4 linked regions of the Drosophila melanogaster genome follow. The protein of the gene in region 1 interacts with the protein of each later gene in a pairwise test. Each region holds a gene or a part of one and is shown on either strand. Other genes may lie near its edges.

Region 1 (8,468 bases):
TCTGCAGCTAAATCTGAATCTGAAGACTTCCCGGGCACAATGAACTTCCCGAATTTCTGCTCGTCATAACTTTTCTACTTCTATGTTGCTTTTTTTTTCTCGAGCATTCCGCGAAAGTTGATCTCCCTGCGTTAGATAGATGGATAAATGGATAATTTGCTCAGCGTTTCATGTTTTCCTCTTGTATTTTTCACCTGCTCGTTTCGGCGAAACATTTTGGCAGGGCCTCCCCCTCCTGGAAAAAGCAAAAAAAGAAAAAACAAAAACAAAATCAACTTGTTCTTGATAATTTTCTTGGGTTCTGCACACGTTCAACGATTTTCCCCGCACTCTCTTTTCTCTTATTTTTTTTTTTAATGAAAATTTATGCATACATATGGATATGGGTGTGTGCCGGTGTGAAAATGTGTTGTGTTTAGTAAAACTAATTTAAATTTACAAATTGCCTTCGAGGGGGCCACAAGAGCGAAAGCCAAAGCCAAAGCGTAAACTTTGTGAAAATTGCTTTCCCGGAAAAGCGGAGAACACACCGAGGGAAAGTTCTCTATACATATGTGCTGCTACGGCTGGCCATGTATCGCAAAGTCACAAAGGAAACAGTTGGGAAAGTGGATTTCAATCTCACAGTTGATTGATTTACCTTGCGAAATTGTTCAAATTTAAATTTTCTACATTAAAGTCATTTGTGTACTGTTTATGAATAATGGGATGGGGAAAACAAATTGCAATTGAGTAAACGAAATAAGATACTTAACTCAATTGAAAGTGGGCGATACTATAAAGTGAATTAAATAAACCTAATTAGTAGAGGTTTATATTTTCTAAATTACTAACTATATTTTCTACATCTTTTTTTTTGTTGTTGAAATTATAGAAATGACTAAACAAAAGGCGTCACCAGCTATCTATTGGCGAAAATAAGCAAGCATATGCCCTATAAGCCAATTTATACCCGTATATATCTGGGTGTTGGCCATAAATTTCGCTGATCATTAACCCATGAAAGTCGTCTGTTGGCCGACCTGAATCACAGTTCTTTGTTGTTTATTTTTTGAGAGGCTCGTTTTGGCAGTTTGTGGATTGCCTGTTTCTAATCAGCTTGTGGGGGAGGCGGCGGCGGCTGGGGGTCGCATTTCAAAGATTGCGAAATTTCAAAGAGTGCTCAGGTTTATCAATGAATTTCAGTTTCAGTTCGGTTCACTTCGCAATGTGACAAAGTCAGGGGCCAAAAGTCAAACAAAAGAAGTTCTCGTTTCAATTCATTTATTATCTGACAAAACACATCTACATAAAGCTAATGTGGCACGAAAGATATCCCAAAGATACACAGATACAAGCACATATGCGTGCCTCATGGAATTTCATTTCAATCTGAAAGAAATTTGATTTTATTTATTTGAGCCAGCATCACCAGAAGACAAGTTGGATTTCAGCTTTTCTTCTTGAGTTCCTTTATTTTTTTTTCGGGTGGGCAGGGCATTCATGAGATACATTTCAATCTTTCGTTTTCAATCTACGTGCAGCATTTTCAGCTTTGGTCAGCAAACAACAATGCCGGCTAAAAGCGAAGAAAAAAATAAAATCACCATCAAGATGAAGATGGCAGGAAAATGCATTCAATTGAAAGGAAAGGACACACAGCCATGGATCATGATATGAATATGAAATTATGCCACATCTCACATTTTCATTTGCTGATGAAATTCTCCATGAATTCATAAGAACAGCTCCTCGAAATAAACGGATGTGCGAGTTTCATATCAAAGAGCGAGCATAAAATTGAAATTATGATGAAATTCGTCACTGGATCGAAAGAAGATGTTTATAGATTTAACACGTTACTTGTGGCAAAATGAAAGTTCCTGGAAAATTATTTTATATACGGAAAATTTGCATATTTGGAACAAAGTGGAATGTATAATTCGTAATGATAATATGAAAGAAATGCATTTAACGTAACATTACCAAATGTAATGATATGTAATGAAATGTTTCACATTCAGCTTTATCAATAAAATACGCACAGATTAGATAAGCAACAAAGACAGCAATCATGAAATATATGTTTTTGTGAAATTAAACATTTGTTAACAAAGGATTTATTGCATTTTATTTTATATGTGCTCCAGTTTCGCCATATGTGTAAGAAAAGTATATATTTTATTATTTAGTTTTTTTTTAGTAAACAACAACCGGCCTCAAAATTTAAAATGTAAATTTTCAAAGTAGTCATTCTATAAAAAAAGCAAAATAAAAGCATAATAAAATAATAGTGGCCTGATATTTCACACCTATTCCAGCTCGTTTTTCAAATAAATTTGCTGTTTTATGGAACCAATTTACTACCAGATTAGAATAATTTAATTGATTACATTTTTTGAAAGTCATTATGGTATAAAAATAGAAGAATTTTATGAAATTGAACCGAAATTTATTTTTACGAATAACCATAAAAACGGGCACAGAATATTTTATTTTATTTTATCAGAATGTTAACTTCGAGCGTTACAAACAAACATGAAAACTAAAAGGAAATGCACACAGGCAGCGCTTTTATTAAATATTTAATGGAAGTAACGTTTGCACAAAAACTTTGATTTAATATTCCTCATAGGGATTTTCCTGCGACTTGATGGGTTTTTCTCTCGAGATTTACTTTTTTGGTTGCCGAAGCGCGGCGAGCGCTGTAAAATTTGCATTCGCCCGCTTCCGTGGAAAAGGCGAAAAGGAAATTCTGAAGATACATTCGTATCTTGTAGCTGGTATCTCTCGTATCGTTTCGTATCTTTTTTTGCGGCCTGGCAACAGCCGCTATTTGCAGCATGTTGCAACTTGCAACTGAGTTTTCGTTTTCGGAGTGGAAAATTTTTTTTTTAGCCTGCCAGTAATGCCGGGGTGGATTTTTGTTCTTGCCTCTTTTTCAATTCACTTCGTTCCATTGCATTTGTAGTTGTTGTTGTTGTTGTTGCTTTATTCGTTTCCTTGCGGGAGAACATTTCCAATTTTCATCCTTTTCGTGGTTTTCTCTCAAATTCGGGGTTTTCTTTTCCTCTTTTCGCGTCACGTACGCCGTTTGTTATATCCCTCTCTCTCGCGCTCTTGCGCTCTTGCGCTCTCGTGCTCTTTCGCCGGCATGAGCGCGCATGAGCGAGACGGCGGACGCAGAGATGAGTGAAACAGCTGTAGCGTCGATGAGTATAAAAGGCGGGCGCACCGGCGAGAAATTCATAGTAGCTTCGAAAAAAACACTGAACACAGTACACAAGAAAACAGACTCTCGCAGCCAGAAAATCAAATGAAGCAGCAGCAGCAAAAACGTGCATAGCCAGACTTTTTCCACTGCTAAAATTTTACAAATCCAAAAAGTTCAATCATTCAACACTGTTTCACGAAGAATTCTATGCTACTGACGTTATATTTTTAAACTAAACTAAACATTTAAATTTGCCATCAAACAAATGCAACGGACCAACGCCATTTAAGTGATACAACAAAACAAATAAAAGTTTAAACAACATAAGTGCTGTGATTTCCACTACAAAACAACAACCAACCAACCAACCAACCAACCAACAACAACAACAACAAATGTTAATTTAAACTGCAACCAGAACGTAAAGAGGAAGAATTTAAGCAATCAGCAAGAAAACAAACAGCAAATTGTGATAAATTAAATAAGCTTAATTAAATTGTAAAAGTGATATACAAAGAAGGCGACAAAAGCCGTCGGAAAATTGCGAGCGAGCGAGCGAACGAACGACTTTCGATTCGATTCGACTTTCCAAGCCAACAAAACACAGAAAAACCGATGAAAATGGATGTTATTGCTCGGGAACAAATCATCTACGGTAGCCTGCAGGGATCAAACAAAAATAAAGGTAAGTGTACCGAAAATTCGGAGAGAAATTTGTGTCTATAGGGAAGAATCGGGAAAGTTCCAGAAAGATTTTAAAACTTAAAATAAAACATGTGTTTCCCAAAATGCAGTCTACTTTTATCAAATTTGTGTATAAAGCGTACATATTTTTAAATGTTTTTTGAATACTTAAACTGTTCTTGAACTTGTGTATAATTTAAATAAAAAAAAAGATGAACAACAACTGCTGTACAAAGCTCCTTGAAATTTCATCAGCAATTAACTTTGTAATTTACATTTACACAAAAAAATGCATAAAAAATCAATTTGCAATTACAAAAAGGAAAAATGTCATAAAAAATCATGTTAAATTGTTCGTCACGTACGCAAATTGCAGCAACAACAAAAAACTCCCAGCAGCAATAAAAAAATGATTTTTCGTTTTCTTTTCGTCTCTCTGGCCCTCCGTCTTTTTTAACGTTGCTTTTGCCTCTGCTTCACGTTTGCGTGCTGCGCTTTGAACTCTCGTTCGCTGTTGCCAAGCGGCTGTTTCCTCATTGCCTAGTTGTTTGTTTTTGGCTTCCGTTGCGTTATTCCTAATTTTTGCCAGATGTAGCAATAGAATTTAAGAGGTGTTTTAAGATTGACTAGTAACATTCGTCACTACATTTTTACACTCTATGAAACTTAATAGTATTCTACCTCGTTTTATTACCAAAACCTTTTACTAATCAATCGTTTTTCCTCCTTTTCAATCATTCCAGATTGGACCAGCAGACTGCCACCGCCGTCGGCATACACTCTGGACCTGATGTCCAAGAAGGCCAAGACGACAACCGGGGGCAGCAGCAATGGCAGCAATGCTACCGCCACATCCACAACCACATCCACATCCAGCAGTATTAAGCACAAGCAGCCGGCGGGCAGCAGCAACAACAATGTTGGCCAAAGTCAGAGCAAGAAGACAAAGCCCAGCGGCAGCTATAATAGCAATAGCAACTACTACTACTACGCTGCTGACGAGGAGGAGGGCGGTAGCGCTGACTATGCACTGAGCAACTACGATAAGAAGGCTGTCGAGGAGCTGTCCCTGCGATTGCTCGACGAACTGAGGGCGGCCAAGTCGCGTCATTTGACCTGTACGGAAGTGTCGCTACCCTGTGATCTCACGCCGAGCGTGGCCCGGGAAATAATCCGCGTGTCGGAGAAGGAGCCCCGCGGCATACGCGGCTGCACCATCTACATTGAGTTCGAGGATGAGCCGAAGAATTCGCGTCGCATTGCCTCGATCAAGGTCGATTCGGATACGGTGTCCACATTCGAAGTGTATCTGACCCTCAGGCAGGATCATCGCGGCTGGACGTCGCTGTTGCCGCAGTTCATGAAGAGTTTGGCCCGCACGATCACCATCAGTCCGGAGTATACGATCACCAAGAATAAGCTATATTCCGCTGATGGTTTGGGTGCACGCAGGAGCTATAGCTTCGGCAGCCACGCCCATAGACCCAGTGCGGCCATCGCCACGCCCACCAACTAATGGTGATCAGCTTGATCTGTCAGATATGCATATGTTCGTATATGTGTCTGCGCGAAACAAAAAAAACACCACCCCTGTGATGATCGAGAGCAGTAGTTTGTTGCAGTTTGAAGTGCAACAACGAAGCAAGTATTCGAAGCCACCCCACCTACACCACACACACACACACACAAACACCTTTAATACACACATACATACACACAAACACACACACACACACACACATACACATTAGGTTACGCCAACCACACTCTCATACTAATACTATATATGGGACCGTAAGGCCCGATTTTTGTAATTGTGACTCTCACCACCATTTTACTTAGATGCGTAGTGCTATAACAAATAACTAGAGTTTTAAGTTGTTTCTCCTTTTTCAAAAACGCAAAAGCAAGAAAAACAAAACAAGGCGACAAGAGCGGAAGAAAAGTAAAGAAAAAAACCAACATGAAATTCAAAGACGACAGCCCCACGAATCAATCCCCAGAATCATATTTCTGGGGCATTCGCTTTGGGGCTCGCCGGTCGACAACTCATGAATATGTGATACTGTTTAAGATGCTAAGAGTTTTTTGCCGGATGCACCAAAGTCCGGCAAAAGACGTTGATAAAATTACACATAACACACAACACAAGAAAATACAAACACACACACACACAAACACGCAAACACCCCATACACAACAAAAACCACAATACAAAAGAACAGATTTTTTTTTAAAAATTGTATGCTATATAGTAATAAACAAAGAAACCAACAAAACAAACAAACTTGATCTTGGTAAATTTAAAATTTAACTTTAAAACTGAGAGAGATGAGGGCCTCGAACTGTGAAAGAGGTAGATGATCACACGCTCCAATTTTAGTTAGACGCAGCTTGCTGCAATAAAAATTTTTTAAATTATTAATTAATATTAATTAAAACCAACAAATTTTAGGATTTTAACAAATTTTTATATATTATTAAATGTATAGCGCGTACTACACAAAATAAAAAAAATAAATAAAAACACAAAGAAAATCCACAACAAAAAAATAAAAACGAGAATAAATTAAACTTAAAAAAAAAATCAAGCATAAAATTTAAGGCAATGAATATCTCAGTAAATGTGAAAGCGTAAAAAATTTGTAAAATTTTTTTGTCTGTGTAAAAACTCCCAATGCGATATGAAAACAAAAACTTAAATGTAGCTGCAAAAATAAAATCAACAAATCGTCAAATAAAATGTGAAAATTTAATTAAATGCAATGCGATATAATTTGTAAAAATTACAATTAACGTAATGAGGAAAACTTAATGTTCTCACAAATACATTAACACACCATTCACACATCCACACCAACATACAAACACACACGAAAGTATCTATTACCAGCAAAAAGTATCTATCAAAGCGAAAAACCTATTTATTACAAAAAGAGAGAGAGAGAGAAAGAAATAAACAAGCAAAATACGAAAAAAATACATGTATTAATTTTTTATTATTAAACAAAAAAGAAAAAACAAAAATATATTGTATTTAATGTTAAGTTTTTTTTATTGCGTAAAACAACAAAATAATTGTGAGAAATTTGTAACCAAAACAAAACAAAACAAAAAATGTGAAAAAAAATCCATACCACACATACAGAGCGAAAAACAAAGGCAAAAAAAAATTACAAAAATAAAAGCATATAATTTTTCCTGCGCTAGCGGAAAATAATTGTGGAAAAAATTAAAACAACGGCTTTCTTTTCTGCCAGCACTGCTGGATCCCAGGGGCGCTCCAATGGAGCCAAGGGGGTGGAGAGAGGGTGTGGGGCGGGCAGGGGCGGTTCAGCTTGTTGCGGGTGCAACTTTCTTTCAGCAGCCACCGAACCACTGAAAAGCGGCAACGCCGCTTGCCGCACAACCCGTTACTGCCACGGCCATGGCAACTGCACTGCGAGAAACTCTGCTCTCTAAGTGGCAATGCGGTTAAGTTATACACTGAAAGAAATCAATACCACAGGAAAGCGAAATACGTTCAACAAAAGCCAATTTCCATTGAATTCATATGAACATGAAATTGATGTTTTAGTAACAAATTGAAATGCATCAATTATATTATAACTTATTTTTTATTATTTTTTAAACTGAATAAATTTATTGAGCACATAACTGATAATTGCAGTTACAACCCGATTTCATCTTGAAGTTAAAATTATTTTGGTGGATAGTTCAATCTACATAGATCTATGCATACTTGAAGCTTTGCTATATAAAAACTATTAACATTGAAAATAATTGGTGGTATCATCCGGTTTTTTTGAGTGCACCACTGCAGTAGTTACACAAACGGCAACGGCAACAATCGCTGCCTCGCGATCAGCAGTGGAAGACAATTGGGCAACCAGTTTGGGCTAGGCTTACCAACTTGTTGTTGGGCTGCGATGGGTACTATGAACTTGGCTGAAAAGCGGCAACGCTGCAATTGGCCAAACAGGCTGATGTTACCCCCAACCAGAAGTGCAGGAATATGAATAAATCACAAAGGCATGGGCTTGACAATAATTTGCCATAAAAGTAATCTTTAAAGGTCAAAATATGCCAGAGGTTTTTTTTATCTCAAGCTCATTTATAGAAGTCCGTGCTAAAGTTTTAAGTACATATATATAGATATAGCTTTTAATATATATTAAGCGTTATTTTATTAAAGATAAAGGCTCAAGCCTGAACTTTAACCAGTATATGTAACTTAATTGGATTTTAATTGGTAATTGGATTTTAATTAAATAATAATATAACTGATTGTATATCATATCCTATATAATGCATCATAAATCATATTTTTAATGATATATCTATCATATCTACCTATATCTATCTATCTATCATTTAATATATTTTCTATAAAGAAACTAAACTGTGATTGTTGTACAAGTGTACACCACTTAATATTCCCAACAAAAACAAAAACCACACTGACAAGGACTATATCAATGTGTATTTCAAAGATATTTCACAATTCGCCTACCTCAATGAAAGTGATTTTTCCTTTAATTCGCATACGGACTGTAATTGCGGCAAGACGTGTGCCATATTTCGCTAGAAC
Region 2 (5,387 bases), 5.2 Mb from region 1:
GCCATTTTTCTAGACGTCGCGCAGGCATTTGACAGAGTGTGGCTCGATGGACTTTTGTTTAAAATAATCAAGCTGTTGCCCCAAAACACACATAAGCTACTGAAGTCATACCTATATAACAGAGTGTTTGCAATAAGATGCGATACAAGCACTTCACGCGATTGCGCAATCGAAGCTGGAGTGCCGCAAGGCAGTGTACTGGGTCCAATCTTATACACCCTGTATACGGCGGATTTCCCCATAGACTACAATCTAACAACCTCCACGTTCGCTGATGATACCGCGATACTCAGTCGCTCGAAATGCCCAATAAAAGCCACGGCACTCCTATCCCGACACTTAACATCTGTAGAACGATGGCTTGCCGACTGGAGAATTTCAATAAATGTTCAAAAATGCAAGCAGGTTACCTTTACCTTAAACAAACAAACATGCCCACCACTGGTCTTGAATAACATATGCATTCCACAAGCCGACGAGGTAACATATCTGGGAGTTCATCTGGACAGGCGGCTCACTTGGCGCAAACATATAGAAGCCAAATCGAAACATCTTAAACTTAAAGCAAGGAACCTCCACTGGCTCATAAATGCTCGCTCTCCACTTAGTCTGGAGTTCAAAGCTCTTCTATACAACTCCGTCTTAAAACCTATCTGGACTTATGGCTCCGAGCTGTGGGGCAACGCATCCAGAAGTAACATAGACATTATTCAGCGAGCACAGTCAAGAATTCTGAGAATTATCACTGGAGCGCCGTGGTACCTTCGGAACGAAAACATACACAGAGACCTAAAAATCAAATTAGTAATCGAAGTAATAGCTGAGAAAAAAACGAAGTATAACGAAAAGCTGACCACCCATACAAATCCCCTCGCAAGAAAACTAATCCGAGTATGCAGTCAAAGCCGGCTGCACCGCAACGACCTCCCAGCCCAGCAATAAACTTATTAGGGCATTAATGAAAAAAAAAAACTATCACTAAGTGAAAGTTAATTAAGTTAGATTAAGATTTGAACACTTATTGTTAGTCTCTTAACACAAAGGGAAGATTCAATAAATAATAAAAATTAATAAAAAAAAAAAAAAATTGTGTCGCTTGGCAATTTAATGAATTTTAATGAGAACTTACTCGCCGAATGCCAGTAACAGCTTGGTTCTGCATTCATTTTCATTTGTCTGTTTTGTGATGATTTTTGATTTTAGACAAAAGCATATGTACAAGACGATATGGATTGTTACTATAACCGACGACCCTCAAACTGGGAACATAAGTTCTCTTTTGATCTATATTGAGTAAAGAAATTTATAAATGAAGATCTACGTTTCCGAAATTCCCCCTATAGAGCTATAAAACTTTTGAATTTTTTAGAAATGATTTTTATTTTTAAGCGAAATTGTAGTTCCTGACTCCTTCCTAGATGCCAGTGTTAGTCTTGATCCAGTCCAGGTAGCTGGTCACACGAGTGAAGGCAGCGGGGTAGCCCTTCTCGCAACCGGCAGAGGCACCGAATGAGGTCAGACCGATCTGCTCGCTGGACGACTTGAGGACCAGAGGACCGCCGGAGTCACCGTTGCAGGTGGACTTGGCGTCGGTGGTGGCCACGCAGAGGGTTGAGTCGGTCACGACCGAGGTGCCGTAGGTTTGGGCGCACTTGGTGTTGGTGATCACAGTCAGGTCGACATACTGAAGATTGGTAGCCACACCACTGGAGGTGTCACTGGTGCGTCCCCATCCGGAGGCGACAGCGACGTCACCGACGAAGGTCGAGTAGGAGTTGGAGATGCTTGGCAGCTTGACGGCGGAGATCCTGCTGCTGGAGGAGGTGGCGGGGATCTTGATCAGGGAGATGTCGTTGCGCAGGTTAGCGCTGTTCCAGCCGGAGTGGATGATGATGTCGGAGCTGGACACGGTGTGGGTGATCTCGGCGGAGGTGCGCACGGTGGCGCCCAAGTAGACGGTCACGGACTGAACTCTGCGATAAATCAAACATACAATTGGTTAGGACATTGGTTCCAAGATATTTTCGGCATTCCTTCAAGGGACACTCACCCATCGGTACAGTGAGCAGCGGTCAGGACCCAGGTGCTGCCGATCAGAGAACCACCGCACCAGGCGCTGGACAGAGCACTCAGCTTCAGGGAAAGTCCCACCTGGTAGGGGAACTGGCCGACGGCGGCGTTGCTTCCTCCGGTGATGCGACCTCCAATGTCGCCAACGACGGGCATCTCGCGGCTGCGATGGCGCAGCTCCGGCTCGGGGAAAGCGGAGGCGGCCACAGCCAGGGCAAGGATGATCAGGAACTTCATCTTGGGAATTGTTGCTTGTTCAGTTAAGGGAACTCAACTGTTTGGCCAAGGACCAGCTGGGGTCTTTTATACTGGCCAAGTCGCGTCTGCGATTGGGTTGCAATTCAGAAATAGAGCTGTCCCGATTAGATAGGACCACTAAAGTCGGTTCGAACTACCTTATCTGTTGAGATTTTGTGCCGAAGATATGAATGAATGAACTTCAGCCACACGGTCGCCAAAATTACTTTCCCAATCCAAGAGTATTAATCCCGATACGGATCTAATCAGGGCTATGGGCTTCGAGTGGATTTCCAGATCGAGCCGCTGCGATACCAAAGGCCTAGCATGGGGTTGCTAATTAATTTGATTAGTTTTACACATACGCGATATATACATAACTATATATTGCGATACAAAATTGGCAAAGGTTTGCTTTGCTCTTCAGCGTATCTTATAATTCCCATGGTAGTCGAGTGCTATCTTATCTCCTGTCTATAGGGTGAGAAGCCGTAAGCCCACAGTTTAGTTGGGTTTGTTTACCTTCGATAAAGGTCAAGGAGTAGGACGTGAGTTGGTCAAGACTGCTTAAACTTCATAGGAAATCATACCGCCGTCTAACAATTGCGTATCTGGACTCTCTCTTTGATTACAAACACGCAAATTTCAGTTGTTTTCGCAACCGCAGCCTTCTTTATCAGCGAAAGCCGCGTGATTTTATGACGCGTTCAACCGACCACATCACTGCGGTTAATAGCCAATTCAGATGGCCAATTGAAGGCGATTAGCGGGAGGAGGCGCTGCGGTCTGTACCCAATATGCCCTCACCAAAAACGGACACTCAACCCAATGATTTCAATTTCAGTGGCGATTCATCAGCAATTTCCATGGCAATGTAATTTTTCTTTTGTGCCCTTATTGAGCTCCCCAAATTGACTTGCTCTTCTGCAATGCCGAAATGTTTATTGTTATTTATCGGTAACAATTTTCATTCAAGAGAAAACAACCACACATAAAATGGACCATTTGCACCTTCCTTTCTCGACAGAAGAACCTGTTTTGGTTTCATTGCTCAAATTGGTTTTATTGTCTGGGCCGACTATATTGTTTAGCAATTAATGGGCTGCAATTAGGCGTTAATTGCATTTAGTTGGTCATTGCCGTTTGCTGTCGGATCCATGGCAAATATGCGGTTATCCTGGTGTAGACAGTGGGACCCCCCACCTCGCATCCTTCGGCACTGCCGAACGAGGTGACCCCAATCAGGTAGCTAACATTGCGCCAGTGGTACACAACGGGGCCACCGGAGTCGCCATTGCAGGCACCACGTCCATTGCTTCCATCGGTGCACAGGTGACGTCGCTGGCTAACCAATCCTGGCAGGAAATAGCAGATGCAGCGTTCCTGATCGATCACCTCCGCATCTAAGTACTGGAGGAGTCGCGTCCGTTTGTCGGTTGAATCTCCCAAGTAACCCCAGCCAGATAGGGTCACCACTTTGCCTACCAGAAAGTTTTGATGCATGAACTCCCCAGCCAACTCAATGGGTTGCACTTGTTCTGAAGTTCTGACTTTTCTTGGCAGTCGTATTAAAGCCAAGTCACTATATCCTCCAAATCCCAAGTAATCAGGATAAATAATGAAATCTCTATGCGTGACTTGTAACTCCTCCACGGAGTCTTCTACATCGGCAAATACGGTGGCGCCCGTGTATATCTTTGCAGCTATGGCATCGGTCAGACAATGGGCTGCAGTCAAAACAAATTGAAGAGTGATAAGGGAACCACCGCACTTGACCAGATCTGCGCCACTCAGCTGAATCACCAGACCCACTTGATAGGGAAACATGCCGCGCGTGGCCAATTCTCCTCCAGCTATTCGAGTTCTCACAGCAGCGGTTTGATTACCTTCCATCTCGAATTTTTCGCAGCGAAGTCGAAAGTTTTCGTAGCCAAGCTGCCAACGTCTTTCCATGATTGCATCGTCATCGTCCGGTGTCTCCTCTTTGGGGTGCTCAAAAGTATCTAGCCAAGGCTCACTTGATTTAACTAGTGTGGATGATAGAAGTAGCAGGAAGAAAGCACTTGTAGCCTGGTATTGCGCCATTTTATCACTACGGAATTGAAAAAATAATATGGGGAATACCTGTTATTGCATTCTATACTATATCTTTTAAATGTAATATTTCCTTTTTCTGACCAAATTCATAGAATACCCCCCGCCCCCCCCCCCCCCTTAAATATGTGAATAGGAAACTCTATTCATTATGTTGAATGAAATTTATGAATGAATTGCCTTTTTATTTACATATATTATATATATAGCTGATGTTCCTCGTAATGAGTTAGTCCAAGTTCAGGTCTGAGTGGGCTCTTCACGTGAAGTACTGGGCTTGTTGTTGTATTTGCTGGTGTTTTTATAGTCAGCGATTGTGGCATCGACATTGCGTCATCGACTTGGATGCGGCACGTGTCCGCATCGTTTGTTAATTGAATTTGCTTGGGCCGAGTGCAAATTATACGGAGACGGGAGGAGCAGCAGATGTTTGGCATTCAATTCCTCCAGCTACCGTGTAATTGCCGCACGTTTTGGCGATTATGTTGCTTAGGCTAGGCCTTCGTCTCCCTTTGGCATACTGCAGTTTCCTTAATTGCTTTCGAACCCCCCATTTTCCCGGGTCCTCAATTGCACGATTTCAGTCTTAGCCCCCAACATTGGCCAGAATGTCTGGGTCGGGGTCTCTGTATTTATTGACTGTCGTTTTATCAACGCTTAGTTTATTATTTGTTTAATTTACTGCACACCTTCGCCTGCATTTCGACACATGAAAGGCCATTGATAATTTTCCTGGAGTTGAATGGCTGTGGGGTTTTACAATCCAAGGCCCCGATTTCGTCACCGATCATAAAGTACCCACTTTGGCGATATCAAAAGCCAGAAGTGTATTAAGTTAGTCTATAAGAGTTATTATGAAATCTGATTCATTAAACGGTAAGAGAGTAGATCTCAATCTCTAGACATTATTTAAAAGTCTAACATGTGTAAAATCATGATTACAGTTTTATTTATAATATTTTGCAGTTTTCATATTTCATACTTCA
Region 3 (8,208 bases), on another chromosome or scaffold:
TCCTTTAACAACTTGATGATATGCTCCTGCCTCCTCACTTCCCTTTGTTTGTGCGTGAGGGTCCCGTAGAGATTATAGAACTCCTCCTCCTTCGAACTCAGCTTGTTGTTTACCTGCGGGAGGAAGAAGGATAAGCATAAGCGAGGCTAGCCACATCCTTTTTCGGCGGACCTGATTGATAAGCGTTTCTTTCTCGCTAACTTGATAGTACATTTGGTCTAGTTTGGTGCGGCTATCCTCCTCATTCTTCTGCAGTGTTGCGATCAATTCGCTGCGAGCGTTCAGCAACTTCTGATCGATAACCATTTGCTCGCGCATCTTGGACACTTCCTTGCGCAGCTGCACTTCGAGCTTGGATTGCATCTCCAATTTGGCATTGGTAACACTTAGGGTCTCCCTTAGATCGCTGGTTATCCAAGCAAGAGATATGTTAATCAATATACATAATCTATGATACTGTTAACCAAGCAGTTTACCTTATCTGCTGTAGAGCTTCCTTATAGTTTCCACCCAGCTCTTCAAAGTCGGCATGCTGCTTTATTGTATTGGCCACCTGTTTGTTCATGACCTTCTTATGCTGCTCGAGACTTTGCAGCTGCAGTTTCAAATCGGCAATGATCAAATCCTTTTCTTTAACTCCCGCGTCCATGGCATCTGGACGCTGTTCCAGATGGACAATGAGCTCACGGGCCTCCTTCAGTTCGCCCTCCAGGTAATCGATGTGTTTCAAGTTCTTATCGACGGAATTTCGAGCCCGCTCCAGACCTTTGTCCGCCTCTTCCAGACGCTTAACCATTTGCTCTTTTCTAGATACGATATAAGGAAAGATCTGTAAGAACCATCATCTGCCGAGATGACCAGTTAACTTACACAGTCTTGAGCTTGGCTACCTCGGAGCGCAGTACCTCGATGGTGGAATCCTCGGTCAATAGCTTGGAATTGTTCTCGGCCAATCGAATGGACTGCTCACTGAGCATATCCTCGCTTCGCCGCAGGCTCTTTCTCAGCTCTACAATGATCTGATCTCGACTGGCCAGCTCCTGTTTCAGCTTGGCATCGAGCTCGATCCGCAACTGGTTCATCTGTTCAGTGTGCTCCTTCTGGGCGTCAAAATAACGAACCTCCATGGCCTGTTTCTGGGAACGCAACTCGGACATCTCGCGATAGAGACTTTTGTTGGGTGACTCTTGTTTGGAGCATGCACCGCACAACTGTTCGATCTCCTCGACGATTAAATTCATTTTTTCTTCCTGGAGACACAATAAAATAGTTTCACATTGCTAGTGCATCATAGCGGTTGCACAAAAACATACCACTAGGTTAGACAACTTTTTTTGAGTTTCCTCACGCTTTTCACTAGCCTCGAGATCATTTTTAGCCCTCTGAATTCTTGGTATATGGTCGTAGATTAACAAAACCCCCTGATCTACAATCGCACGACACCTGGTTTTCAAGTCATTCATACTTTCGGCGGCTAGAAAATAAAAGTATGCAATTGTAAGCGAAAGAAGGATAATTCAAGGATAACAATTCATTCAATCGAAGACGTAAAATCAAAACGAACTTACGAATACTCTTGGGCAATCGAAGTAGATCATCATGGTGGACCACAAGCTTGCATTCATCGTTTACAGTCAGACCCACAAACTTGAAGACCCCTTGATTCCGGAGCTCCGAACCCATTAACCGGATCTTGTGCATAAACTCGGACTGCAGGTTCTCCAGTTTTTTTTTCTGCGTATCAAAGACCCGCATCCGGTTCATCTCCAGGACACGGCGATGCGACATCTTTTCAGGCTTCTTTACATTTTGATAAGGTTCTGTGGACGGCAATAATCAGAGAATTGGACCACGTTTCAAATATTCGCGATACCCACCGCATGTCGTTGACTTAACCAATTGTGCTGACTGGGCATGCGTCTTTATGGGAACCACGTTCCGCTTGGGGGGATTCAACTCATCGATATCAGTTTTCCGATCGGGCTCAACTACTTTATGCTCGGGCTCGACCCGTCGATTGGGCAACGAATACGTACTGACACACGGGCGCGCTTTCGTCGAAGAAGTAACCCGTTCCAGAGAAGTTTTTCGCGAATGGATAGACGACCGACTCGCTCCACGCCTATTTGGAATGTGACTGAGCCTACCTTTGTTTGGGCTTCCGTCGCCATTCTGGGTGGGAGGAGTAGAGAAGACGCCACCACAAGAAGAAGTGCGAGACTGGGACGGGGATGTAAAGCATTTGAAAAAACTAAACCCTTTTCTTCTATCTCACTCACCCATGTAGCTTTGTCTGAGGCTTGCTTTTCCGCCTTTCCAGCTGTCCTCAGCAAGAATGCTTTGTTACCTAACAAGGATAACGAGCATTTGAAGCACACATTCGTATAGCGTTCAAGGTACATGTACTTACTACGAACTGAACGCGGCGTCACGCTGGAAGAATTCATATCTAAAGTTTCGGAAATCAACGCTTTTTTGTAAACGATTTTTGTGTTCAAAATGAGGAAAAAATAGTATAGAAAATTTGTTTCTAAATATTTCCAGTTGAACTACGTCTAGTGTAAATGGTACAAAAATGCTTTCTGACCAATCCAAACGAGGTGGTTCGTGGAAGTAACATGAATTCAAACTCAGAGCACACTTGTTCAGTTCCAATGTACCCGGTGTTTTTGGGGTCTGTTTGTTTAGAATGAGCGTATGAAAACTAATGGTTTCTATCAACAAATGCGAATCTGCAAAAGAAGCGGAAACTAAGCTAAATGGGAGGGAAAAGTAGAGAGCAGTTTTTCCCTCTCTGAGGTTCTCCATGTAATCCATTCGTCGGTCCCGAATGATGCACATCGTCCATCCAATAATCGACTCGGCGAAATTTGCATTCAGTTGCTGTTCGTGCGTCCACCGAGTAAGTTCTTAGTTCGGATTTCCCTCTAAAAGCATATATTTCGAGATTGTTTCATTTACGATCCATCAATACTGAGTAACAAGAGTATGAAAAAACAATCTGTACCACCTTGCTATTAGTTTATTTTCTCAAAATAACTTAATCAACTGGATTAACATACATGATGTGCTAGTGAAAGTGGGTGCTACAATATAAGTGCAGTACTGAGGTGAAGAAGCCCTAAAAGTGACTTTAATGATTTAGATCCATGGGAAATGGACGTTTGTCACCCCCTTGTATTCGAATTCGCTGTAGACAGTCGGCGCGTTTTTCAATTGAATTTAATCAGTGACGTAGACGGTCTATATAGTACAGACTATATATTGTATATACGCAATGCGATCCGATTTTCAAGGGGTAAACAACCAACAACCCGCCTAGTTCAAGTTCCGCATGGCAATTGAGCTGGCATAATTTGGATCTCAAAGGAAATGGAAAGTGTCTGCGAAAATAGCAATATGCACTATGTGTGACATCACGCAAAGTCATTCAATTGAAGGCTATTTCTACGAATTCAAGTTCAGTTTGAAACTGGAAGTAGGCTCCATTGGTTGCCATTGACATTCGATACCAATGCGGATAATTAAGACAATTAAGTGCTGGCCAGAAATAGTTTTTTCCCCCACAACCACGTGGCTGCATCAAATGATTGTAAATTTGTATTCCCACTCAATTTTGCATTGCAGCTCTTTGAAATGAAAGCTCTGGAAGGTTTCACTATTCTTCTCGCATTAGTGGGTGTTATTCCCCGGATCGAGGGCTGCATTAGGGTCCCACCGGGAGTCACAGCAGCCAAGTCACCGGTGGATGATAACTATGTGCTGTCCGTAAACGGAAATACGCAGAGTTATGTGCCCGGTCAAAGGTATAATGGTGAGTGCATTAAATTAAGCATTAAATTAAATTAAATTTACAAATTTCTAGATTTTTCTTTCAATTCTCTAATCTTTCGCTGCTCGTTTTCAGTTAGCCTCAGTGCATTTTCTGGCTTGTCCTTCATTAGCTTTATGCTGGCCCTGGATTTGGAGAGTGGTGACGGCGATGGTGACGCCAATGCCCTGGGCACCTGGGAGATCGCCGATCTCGCCGAGACCCGTTTCAGTCCGCGCTGCCCAAATCTTGTCGAGAATACCAACACGAACGTGAAGACACGCGTGGATGTGTTCTGGGTGGCTCCATCGAGTCCGGGACAGGGCTGCATCCTGCTGAGGGCTACGGTGATGCAGCATCGAGATGTGTGGTTCATGGATGATGGCTTCCTTACCAAGCGTATGTGCGAGGAGGAGGTGGACGACATTGACACCCAGCCCAGCATCGTGGATCCGTGCTGTGCCTGTGACGAGGCCAAATATGAGGTGGGACTCTTTTAACTCATTATTGAAATGGTATTAACACCTCCTTACTTCAGCTTACCTTCGAAGGCAAGTGGTCGCGTCACACACATCCCAAGGACTTTCCAGCGAATAGCTGGCGCACCAGATTCAGCGATATCATTGGTGCCTCGCACACACTGGACTACAGATTCTGGCAGTATGGAGAGCTGGCCAGCGAGGGGCTGCGTGAGGTGGCGGAGCATGGCTCCACAAGGACCTTGGAGAGTGAGCTGAAGGATCAGAGCGAACACATTCGCACGATCATCAAGGCAAGGGGCATTGCCTATCCGAATGTTACGGGCAAAACATTTGCCGTTTTTCGCGTCGACTCCAACCACCATTTGATCTCCCTCGTATCAATGGTGGATCCCTCTCCAGACTGGATCGTTGGTGTATCCGGCCTCGAGCTATGTCTGCCCAACTGTTCCTGGGTGGAGAACAAGGTGCACAACCTATATCCCTGGGATGCGGGCACCGATAGTGGTCCATCATATATGGTAAGACGATTTCCATGATTTAGTCTTCAGTAGAGTCAATCACGAATACTTTTCAGTCCGCTGACCAGCCACAGGTGCCTCCAGATGTTGTGCGCCGCATCAAATCAAATTTCCCCAACGATCCCCGTTCGCCCTTTTATGATCCCACTGGTGCCCAGATGAAGCCATTGGCCACCCTGCACATCAATCGAAGACGACTCTACGAAAAGAACTGCGAGTCCTCCGATTGTAAGTTAAATGCAACCATATATTGATGTTGTGAATATACATACTATATACTTTAATCCTGTAGCGGAACAGGTACCGCCGGAGTGCGCCACAAACTCGTGGTCCAGATGGGATGAATGCACCACAAAGTGCGGTCCCGGCAAGCAATACAGAATCCGAGAGTTCAAGAACCCTGCATTGGCTTCGGTAATTAAGACGACATATATAATTTGGATCCCATACTATATATACATTTTGACACCTACCTTAGCGTCATCGTTGCAACAATGCCCTGCGTGAGGAGAAGAACTGCGTGGGACACAAGTGCGCTGGCTTCAATGAGGAGACAGCTGAAGGCGGCGAGCCGGAGGTGGCGCCATCACCAGGTAGCAGCGACGATCCCCAGTGCGGTCTGTCTGACTGGTCGGAGTGGTCTTCGTGCACCGTGACTTGTGGAACCGGCGAAATGACCCGATCCCGACACTATCTAAACAAGAAGGCCAAGAAGAAGTGCCAGAAGGCAAGCAGGGCGCGTCTGCATGAGACCAAGATTTGCGAGGCAATGGAATGCGGTGGGGACATCGAGAACGAAGGTGGTGCTGGGGAACCGGAGGAGGAACAGGCCGGTGGCGACGGAGGTGGATCCGCTGAGAAACGCTCCATATTCCGCAACTTCGAGAGTTACAGTCAGCATCGGGAGGATTACATACCACCGGTTTGCGGGGTCACTCCATGGTCGGATTTCTCGCCGTGCATGGGGCCATGCGGTGGACATGGAAAGCGGCAACGTATTCGCAAGGTGTGGAATAACAACCAGGTGTACGGAGTAACGGATCCCAATGATGACGGCCAGGATCCCTGTCGACACATCAAGCTGCACGAGGAGGTGAACTGCACCAATCCTAGCTGCGATACCATTGTTCCCGGCTTCTGCTACGACGAGCTGACCGACAGTCCGTGTCGGGATAACGATGTGGCCAACTTCTGGTACTACGACCATGTGAGTGACCAGTGTGCCATCTATTGGTCGGATCGTTGTGATACAAATCGCAACAAATTCAAGTCGAAGGAGGAGTGCGAGGAGACATGTCGCCTGCCGCGCCACAAACAGGAACTGCAGCACGATGGCATTCCAGCCATTGATTGTCTCGTCTCTGACTGGGTTTCCCACAGTTGCAACGCCTCCTGCGGCGATGGCTTCCAATTGCGAACGCGTCGGGTGCTCCGTACTCCGAAGTATGGAGGCAAGCCATGTCCCAAGCACCTGGTACGTTTGGATCGCTGCTACCAGCGGTGCGATGACATGTACTCAATCAGTGGACGGGGATTTGGAGAGCGAAGGCATGTGGTAAGAGCTCCGCAACCGGAACCGCAGGACGAGTGTCGCTACTCGGAGTGGTCCGCCTGGACACCATGCACCGCCACGTGTGGCGATAATGCCGTTCGCCAACGAACCCGAACCCTAATGAACACCGATCTGAGCTACAAGTGCAAGGATCGCGTCCGCATGGAAAAGTGCGTGATGATGCCTTGCCAGCTGACCAGCAACGATGATCCAGAGCGGTGGTGAACATACCATTAACTGCTACAAGTATTAGTTCTAATCCAACTATGTAATCATTACCAATGGATATCGTTAAATATATGAAAAATTCCAGACTACCTACACTAGCTCTTCTCGCAACAGATTAAATATGTATTAAAAACAATAAAACAGAATTGTGTTCGCGTGGTAATTCCAATTCCGATTGAGTTTAACCTTGACCCAGTTCCATTAAGCAAACAGTGGCCAGTTTACGAGTGATTTTTCGCCGGGTTGCAAGTTCAAAGAACCCGGGCACAATTCATCAATTGAAAAGCTTGCCATAAAAACAAACCATTCCTAATTGAAGACAACTCAATCAAGATGCCATAAGCTGTCAACGCCGAGAGCGCCATTTAAGGGATAATTGATAAATTGGAAATGCTCATCAATTAATGGAGATGGCTAGCCATCAGTTTTGGTCAGTCGCCGTTGAGCCTCGACCCAGTACGGATCGCTAAGATTGAGAAGAGATGCTTCGCCATATCGTGCTCCTCATTCTGCTGTCTTCCGAAGTCAGAGGAGTCTGCAATCGGATACCCCAAGGTGCCAGTGGCCCTCGATCGCCTGTGGATGATAACTTTAAGATCCTTATCGATGGCAATCCAGAGACCTATGTGCCAGAACATCAGTACAATGGTGAGAGTCTCGAGTTGTCCTGAAGCTTTTACTTCAACATTATTATCATCATAAGTTTCGTTATCCTGTCCAATAAACATGAAATTCGTGAGCTTCACCTTGGTGGTCGAGGCTGAGGATCCGTCGGCTGCCTTCGGTGGTCAGGATATGACCGGTCACTTTGAACTGCTGGGAGTCGGAGACACCCGATTCAGTACCAGTTGTGAGAACATGGTGGAGAACACAAATACGAATGCCAAGATCTATATCGCGGTATCCTGGATAGCACCACGTAATCCGGACAGCGGTTGTGTACTGATTAAGGCTGGTGTGGTTCAACATCGTGATGTGTGGTTTCTGGACGATGGCTTCCTGACCAAGCGGATTTGTCCCGAGGAAATCGACGAACTGAACAGCTTAACACCACCCTTGGAAACTTGCTGTGCCTGTGATGAAGCCAAATATGAGGTTGGAATATCTTCTCAACTCTTCCTAATATTGTGTTTAAAATAATCGTATCTAATAGATTGTTCTGGAGCGAAAGTGGGCAAGGAACACCCATTGGAAGGACTTTCCCTCTGAGGACTGGCGCACACGCTTGGGCGAGGTGATTGGTGCTTCACATAGCCACAGCTATCGCTACTGGGCCTACGGAGGAAGAGCGAGCAAGGGCATGAAGGAGTTGGCCGAGCACGGAGCTACACGTACCCTTGAGAATGAGATCAGGGAGAATACTCAGGTAGGTAATCAATTTTATCGCATTAAATCCACTTCATCATGGTGTTTCTAACAGAATGGCGAGGTGAGAACTATAATAAAGGCTCCTGGAATTCCCTATCGTCCGAAAACATTTGGCACAACCCTGGCCAATGCTCGTCTGGATCCAGTACACCATCAGATATCGCTAGCAGCCAAGATTGATCCTTCACCCGATTGGATACTGGGCGTGGCTGGATTGGAGCTTTGCTTGAGCAATTGTACGTGGCTGGA
Region 4 (7,884 bases), 1.5 Mb from region 1:
AAAATGTTTTGTGGCTTGAGATCACGATGCACAATTCCTTTGGTATAAAGTGCTTTCATAGCACCAGCTAGAATTGGGGAAATGGAAATAATGGTATACTTTAACTTCCGATCTTCTGATATTTAATTATAATACATTTCGTTGTTCTAAAGTAATATTAATGTTACAATTTATATTGATCTTTGACAATTATTAGTTAGGGCTACCCCTTATATAGGATTTTCGAATCTCACCTAGTTGCACGAGGAAGAGTCTAACGGTATCCTCGCTGAGCGTCCCCTTGACACTCAGATAATCCGCCAAGTCGCCGCCATTGCAATACTGTAAAGAGAAAGGATGAAGAGCGTGAGTGGAGCTGATTGGGAAATTAAATTAAGAGAGACCCCCACGAGTCAAGAGTTCAGCGCGCATATAAATCTTCTGGGACCCCAAAAGACCTCAAAAGCAGAATGCAACCCATGCAAACGAATTAAGTCCAATCAGTGCGAAAATGAAAGAGTCCCGAGATTTGATTCAGTCGGTCTTTCCATCTTTTAGCTTCCAGCTGCTCGCTCGACTTTTGTGCAAATCCCAGTCAATCATAGAAAACGGCAAGGTCAAAGCGAATATGATTTATGGCAATTTTCTGAATCAAGAACTGGAATTAGGGAAATATGTTTATGGATCAGCCCAGACAGCCAGCTGCTTTTCTTTTGTCGTTTGCCCAACAAAGGTTCTGTTCCGGTTTATGTCAGCAGATGCGGAGAAAGAGTTGGGGTAAAAATAAGCTATAGAATATTGAATATGCTAGGGGAATTTACACTTGGAATTTTAAATACACTTCCATGTAATCTTTAATCTTTGAAGTAAAGCACCAGTTAGGTTTTTTAAAAATGCCCGTTCACTGCAGTGATTTTTCCATACTCATTTGAGAATAATTAATAATTTTCTCTTTTAATATATAATATAATATAATATTATAATAATAAGCCATTGATAAAGTATATGATAGTGAATGCTAAACAAAAGGCAACAAAATGTTCAAATAAAATATAAACCTCTAAGCATTCGAAAACAGCAAAAAGGAATATCAGTTATCATGAAGAAGTTTTTGAAAAACTTGAAAATGAAAATAGAATATCCCGATATGGGAGAACTTTGTAAGCAGCCCTCGCTAAAATGTAAATGAAGAGAACGAACCCCTGTCTCTCCAAAATGCCGTTATATTTTTGGCCTGAGCAAGTTGCCTAAAAGGATTTGCGATTTTTGACCTTGAGGCCGCCAATCGAAGACATGACTATAGAATTCCACACGAACACAACCACCAAAAACCAACAAAAGTAATGTGCGCGGCGAACATTTTTATCCGCTTTTATGGATTTTTTGTTTTTCATGAGAAAATATATGGACCACTTACAGTTTAATGAGCAAACAAAGCAACATTAGGCAATTAAACAGCCAATTTGAAATGACAAAAGATTTCACTGCACTCGCTTTTTGTGAAATCGCTAAAATCGCCGAAGAGAAGCGAAGAGCGAAGAACATTAAACAAAAAGTCATTGACATGTAAAGTACATAAACATAAACATAAAAGTAAAAGTTTGAAGGAAATGGTGGAATACTCGCAACGAAGAGGGTTTTTCTTCCTCTGGGGCTTTTTAACAATTTCTAAATTATATGCAATGCCATTTCCCGGCAACAAGTGCCCATGAGTCAGCGATTTATTGAAAAATGCACTTGCGTAATTAATGGGCTTCTCTGTTTTTTCTTTCTTTTTTAAATATTATTTTGAAGAATCAAGTGTGAAGAGAGCGATTCGAAAGCTAAGAGAAGACTCTCTTCAGCCGCTCTATTTCAACTTACTCAATTTTTAAGCTCGCAACTTCTGCGGTTCCGTTCGCAGCTCATTCTCAAATCGACGGTGGCATGAGTCGCACGTTATCGCGCGACAACAAAAAGCCAAGTTAGCAAATCATTAAGTATAATTTAAACGCGATACTCCTCCATTCAGTAGAATTCGATGAGAAAACTCTCTAGTGTAATACCCAATTTAGTACATATATTATCGAGAAAAACGACGACGCGTGTCATTCGAAGTAAGCGCAGTGGACTAAAGGTCAACATATTCTAGGCGATAAAAAGAACGCTGCTGCTATACATTGTTCATCGCAATCACAACACAAAGACCTAGAAACGGGATTAAAACAAGAGTTTAACTTAGCACTCGGTGAAACAAATATTCAAACAAACTTTTCACTCAAATCACGTCCAATTTAATCGCTATGATTCAGCCAGCCAAGTGTTTCACATTTTTCCAGCAAATTATGTAAATAAACTGTGAAAGCTTCCCTTTTTTCATATCAAAAGGCGGGCCGACCGACTTATAAGTCAAGTCCAAAGCAAAGTTCATTACGATCGGCGTTAATTCTAATCAGACAAGTGTGTAATTAATTTTATTAATATTACAAGCCGTCCTAAAGATTTCTTTGTACTTCCAAATCTGCTGCTTAAGTTATTATGTTGAAAATATGGCAATTGAAATTTTAATTTCTAATGTGATGTAATGCTTATTAATTAAGATAGGATTACCCAAACCGATTAGCCTTTATTTACGGTGCTTAAAGTGTGAGTTTGCTCTTTCTGTTTTCATTGAAAACATGAATTCCATAATTGTTACTATTGATAATAATCGATTAGTAAGTCAGAAGTTGGTTAAAAGCTAAGCAGAAATCGCGAGGGTATGAGACAAAGCAATTAAATATTAAAAACTGATAAGATAACCACGGCTAAACATTAAACTTAACATGAGAGAGTTTGGAAGAGAGAGTGAGAGTAAAGAAAAAGAGATAATATTTGCCGCTCTTCGAAGCTCTCACACACACACCTGTTCAGTCAGTCGAACGGAATGGGAATTGTTGGCGAATTTTTGCTCATTCGAGAATCGGCAGCGAGTGGAAAAGTTTGTGCGAGCGGAGTGAAAAATAATTATTTTACTTTTGCCAAAAGTAAGCCGGCAAATGTAAATGGACATTAATCAACTTTGAAGCTGTAATTTCAAAGCAAAACAGATGAATATTAAAAGTGCAAAGTGAAACGAGAATAGCGGTGCAAAAATAGGCCCCTAACACCTAATAAAATCTATTTTCAGCTTGAAAATTTTCACATCAAGTTTGGCAAAAACGACGAAAATGCTATGAAAACCCTGAGATAAACACAAATACAAACAACACGACGCCTTGAAGACGCAGTGAAAACAAAGCTAAACAAATATCAGTAAACAAATAATTCATAATAATGCACGTGTACTACAAGTTTGGATTACTGCTGATATTTTTGCTAAGCGTGAGGTAAAAATCAAGTTGTAATAAATATTTACAGATCTCGATATGTGGAGAAATCACATTTGTTATTCTTATGGGGCTGGAAAATAAGTAATCCATTTATTTATAGAAATCAGTAGACCCTTTCCTAAAAACGAAAAACAGGGAAGACACGGGGCAAAGTTTCCGTTTAGCAACATTCGCAGTGATTAATTCACTAAAAACGAAATAACGACAGGTGAACCAGGGTAACGGGACTTTGACCCGCCCACAACTGAGATATCAATGCCAAATGGAATACTCACGCATGGGGTTATAAAAAAAAAACAGCAACATTTTATTGATAGTCCACGGCAACCGCTCTTAATTGCCGCCTTTAATATATATATAAGGTGCACGAATTTACACTCTACTTAATCATATCGCATAATCTGGTTCTGATAAAAATAATAACAATTCCCCGGTTGTCCGATAATTTATACCGTTATTGCTTATCAAATTGTTTGCTCAGCGTTTTGAATTTCTCAACCAATATCTCAAGCAATATTGCAAATGACATAGAAATTTATAACTGTCTCGATTTTCAGATTTTTCTTTTAATTTACAACTGAAACGAGGTTTAGACATTATCGATTATGTATAAATATTCTATATTCTTGCCCTAAAAAAAATCTTTTTAAATACTTCTGAGTTTTAAAACCTAAGATAAAATTCTTTAATCGTTCTTTGCATGTTAGTACTAGTATAATTTTCCCAGTGCACATAAGCCCATTTCTCTATTGATTTTTGGGCCTTTTTAAACCTTTTCAGCCACTCGAAATCAAATGTCAAAGTAGAGTGCTTTTAAGTGCGACGCTTCCAATTTTAGTCACTTCATTCAAGTAGTCAAGGGAATTACGTCGACTAGGTCGTCATGCTTAGTAACAGTTTAGAGATCTTTCGTAATACCCATTAACTTCGGCGAGCAGCTGAAGCTTGAAGGCAATTCGTAACGTTCGATAAATATATCTTTATTATCCGGTAGGACTATATACCAATTAATAGCTACATATCAGCACTTGCGGTTCAAGTACTCGACTCTATAAAGTCGTTCATTCTGTTCATTTTGGCACTTTTAAGGATTGACAAGGCTCCTCAGCAGCATTCATTGAAACTTCACTCAAAAGTCACGCAATTGAAGAGAACTCTACATGGCAGTCAAAAGACTCACTTGAACTACTCTACTAGCCAATTTACACCTTTTTTTCTAAAAGTAAATACAACCCACTAGAACTGAAGTCGCCGAATGCACGGATAACGAACGATTTAGAATCAGACAAAAAAAAAAATGAAGAGGGGTCACAAATGACAGCAAAAAAATAAAATAAATCTGAAAAAAGTGAGAGTAAACGAAATCGTAAACTAAAACCGGTCGAGTTGTCTCTTTTGCCATGAAGTAAACTGGTTTCATCTGTGCTTTTTACTGAGTAGCTACAGTACGTTTCGAAAATGTAAGGTCAGTTAACAGAAACAAATAAACAACTTTACAGACAATAAAAGTGCTTGAGTTACAATAAAAGAAATGTGTGCTTTCTTTATTTTCTTTAGCTTGAAAGTATATCTATTTGATTTTACTTTATTCTTAAAAAACGAAAGGCAAAATATATTTTACAATATATGCATAATCTAATGAATTGCATTAAGAAGCCTTGTATCATTGAATACTTTTAATTCATTTAAGGGCTATTGCTGTGACCACGACTGTAGCGAGAAATACTTTGTATGTAGGCTTGTTCGCACATGTGAGTGTATTCATTCATGTTCTTTCGCGGAGCAAACATAAACAATAGCCGTATAATGATAGTGGGGAAAACGAATGTTTCTGTGTGGCTATGGCGTGGTCATAACGATATGGGTCAAGAGCGTTTTCAGGACAAATTAGCTAGGTGTGTTCGCCTTCAAGACGTGAGTGATGTAAGCACGTACCGCTTAGAACCCACCGACAATCTAAAGCCAAATATTGACAATTTTGGGTATTTGGTAAAACCACTTAACGAATTCGTACAGTAATTGCTCTATCAGAAATGCGCATTCGTTTGACATATAATTGCCCTGCGTTTTTCTTCATAAGCAATGTGAATTCGTTTATAAGTCGTGGAAAAAACCAAATTGGTATATTGTTGGTTTATTCAGTCGAGACCGGAAAATAATTTAATGATTACTCTTACAGCATCAGCCACACAAATGCCGCTCCAGCGGGCAGTGAGGAGGCAAATCCCCTCGAGGACTTTAATTACGGCGATGATGACTACAGTGAAACAGCGACGGGCGAGGAATCGCCGGAGACAGCAGAAAATAGACTGATGCCACAATCATCCTCCACATCGACCACCACCACATTTCGACCAATATTTAGTGAGCATAACATAAATCTATATATTCCGAACTGAAAAGGCTAATGAATATCGTTTTGCAGATATACCACGACGCAGCAACCATGTCCTGGAGCCCAGTTGCCCGCGCAACTGCCTCTGCCTGGAGGACTTCAAGTTCGTTCAGTGTGCCAATGCCCATTTGACCCATGTACCCCTGGACATGCCCAAAACGGCGGCCATCATCGATCTGAGCCATAATGTGATTGCCGAACTGAGGCCGGAGGATTTTGCCAATCTGTCCAGGGCGGTGGAAATCAATTTGAATCACAATCTGATCAGCAGCATAGACAAGGATGTAAGTGCCCAGCTAATTCTACTAATTAGATAAATTGTAACTAATGTGCTTATTATCTATTGTAGGTCTTTCAGGGATCGGAGCGTTTGAAGCGCCTGCGGCTGGCCAACAACCGTCTAACCAAAATCGATCCCGACACCTTTGCGGCGGCCAAGGAACTAACGCTACTCGATTTGAGCAACAACACCATAACCCAGCGCCTGGACGGATCCTTCTTGAACCAGCCCGACTTGGTGGAGTTCAGCTGCGTCAACTGCAGCTGGACGGAACTGCCGGAACAGACGTTCCAGAACATGAGTGGCCTGGAGGTGTTGCGCTTGAACAAGAACGATTTTAAACAGGTAAGAATGGCGAGCCAAAAGTGCGATAGCACAAGTTATCGCTCTATCGATAGTTGGCGCAACTGAAGCCAAAACAGCTGTGTTTGCCATCGCGCAGTTGTCTATATAGTTGTCCCGCTCACGCTTTTCCATTCCGACAGCAAATCAATACGAAAGCTTTCTCGCCGCTAACAAAAATAATTAAACTGAAGCTGCCGGAACTGGAACAACAGAACATCGAGGAGCTGTGCAGCCTGCTGACCTCCATCGACACGATTAGCTTCCTCAACTACGACATCAGCTGCTACGAATTCGTACTGGGCACCCCCTTCAACGGCAGTCTCATCTATCCCACGGAGCCGCCGCTCAAGGGGATTACAAATCCGCCCATCGTCGCCAGCATCACCAGCACTGCAAAGCCAGTGACCGCCACACCCGCACCGCCCAGAAGTGGTGAGCTATTTCCCATGACTCGTAGATCATCTTGCTAACGTGTCTGTTGCTCACCTCCCATTGTTCGCATTTAGCCAATCGCAATCGGGGCAAAATGGACAACAGCACGGAGCTGGTCAAAGCCGGAATCCTGAGCTCCGAGACCAGCACAAGCGGAGTCAGCGTGGAGCCGCCTGCCGAGAGCCAGACCAATCAGGTGCAGATCTCCCAGGAGGCCATCAACACGCTGCTCATCTGTGAGTACAAACTGCGGTTTAAGGTTTATAACATCAACTATTTTAAGCATCTTGCTAAACAGTTATAGTTTGAGTTATACACCTTTTACTTGCGGTACAAAACCAGACTAATTTGTTCAATTTAATCCACTAGGCATCATGGTTCTGGCCGTGATTGGCATCGTCATCGGACTCATTTGCCGCCAGGATATTGGCGGCATCAAAACCAAATGCTGCCGCACTAGCAAACCAGAGCCAAAGGATCAGGTTCATCCCACTGAGGAGATACCACTGAATAAGCTAGCCTAAGAAAACTTTCCAAAACAAACCGAAACCAAACGATCGAAGATGAAAAGAGAATCCTATCCTTCTCCTCCAGTTTCGAGAACAAATTCCATTTTGACGGCATTTTTGATAGATTATAAATAGGTATATGTATATCACGTATGTATATGGCTAGTTAGTTAACTACTTTGACGCGGTATCTAGCCTAACTATATAGTCTCTCCTACAATGTTTCCCGCACAACAACTGAACCGAATCCGTTGTTAGATTCTAGTTGTTAGTCGGAGTAGGTTAAGCCGCCTAGTCGCTTAGCGTTCTGTTCTTTAGGGGGACTCGGTAAATGGGATCCCGCACCAAAACTCCTGGCACTGTTCTAGTTTTAGATCCCAAAATCAATTTTCATCGCAACACTTAAATTAATGTAAACCCATAGATACACTAGTTGTTAGCTTTAGACTTTTGCCAAAATACAATAAAAGTAATTATTGTACATAGTAAAAAAAAAGAAAACCATTGTTTTGAATTATGAAACCAAAAGATTAAAAAGATTACATCTGATAGACTTGATTATTTACCTATATACTCTCCTCATATCACATTCCT

What was found.
Region 2: the proteins of scyl (region 1) and Jon65Aiv interact in a two-hybrid assay, tested with the Drosophila melanogaster proteins (one large-scale study listed by BioGRID).
Region 3: the proteins of scyl (region 1) and CG17739 interact in a two-hybrid assay, tested with the Drosophila melanogaster proteins (one large-scale study listed by BioGRID).
Region 4: the proteins of scyl (region 1) and CG42709 interact in a two-hybrid assay, tested with the Drosophila melanogaster proteins (one large-scale study listed by BioGRID).

The regions. Positions count from the first base shown.
Region 1 is NT_037436.4:11,249,083-11,257,550, forward strand, and holds scyl (scylla), read left to right. Parts: upstream 1-3,224; 5' UTR 3,225-3,808; coding exon 3,809-3,878; intron 3,879-4,620; coding exon 4,621-5,393; 3' UTR 5,394-7,090; downstream 7,091-8,468. UniProt on the Drosophila melanogaster protein: Inhibits cell growth by regulating the Tor pathway upstream of the Tsc1-Tsc2 complex and downstream of Akt1. Acts as a cell death activator during head development.
Region 2 is NT_037436.4:6,036,116-6,041,502, reverse strand, and holds Jon65Aiv (jonah 65Aiv), read right to left. Parts: upstream 2,349-5,387; 5' UTR 2,308-2,348; coding exon 2,051-2,307; intron 1,974-2,050; coding exon 1,415-1,973; 3' UTR 1,368-1,414; downstream 1-1,367. Other genes in the region: CG6462 (uncharacterized protein), read right to left, coding at 3,433-4,392.
Region 3 is NT_033778.4:12,303,652-12,311,859, forward strand, and holds CG17739 (uncharacterized protein), read left to right. Parts: upstream 1-2,876; 5' UTR 2,877-2,902; intron 2,903-3,627; 5' UTR 3,628-3,636; coding exon 3,637-3,814; intron 3,815-3,907; coding exon 3,908-4,296; intron 4,297-4,349; coding exon 4,350-4,811; intron 4,812-4,867; coding exon 4,868-5,039; intron 5,040-5,103; coding exon 5,104-5,225; intron 5,226-5,289; coding exon 5,290-6,588; 3' UTR 6,589-6,761; downstream 6,762-8,208. Other genes in the region: salto, read right to left, coding at 1-113, 172-406, 477-806, 871-1,250, 1,314-1,474, 1,569-1,820, 1,878-2,220, 2,280-2,347 and 1 more; CG30203 (uncharacterized protein), read left to right, coding at 7,074-7,239, 7,295-7,686, 7,745-7,957, 8,012-8,208.
Region 4 is NT_037436.4:12,788,308-12,796,191, forward strand, and holds CG42709 (uncharacterized protein), read left to right. Parts: upstream 1-1,884; 5' UTR 1,885-2,075; intron 2,076-2,910; exon of another isoform or gene 2,911-3,127; 5' UTR 3,128-3,273; coding exon 3,274-3,326; intron 3,327-5,508; coding exon 5,509-5,693; intron 5,694-5,754; coding exon 5,755-6,008; intron 6,009-6,073; coding exon 6,074-6,349; intron 6,350-6,489; coding exon 6,490-6,781; intron 6,782-6,855; coding exon 6,856-7,017; intron 7,018-7,150; coding exon 7,151-7,305; 3' UTR 7,306-7,777; downstream 7,778-7,884. Other genes in the region: Atg1 (Autophagy-related 1), read right to left, coding at 1-67, 234-321.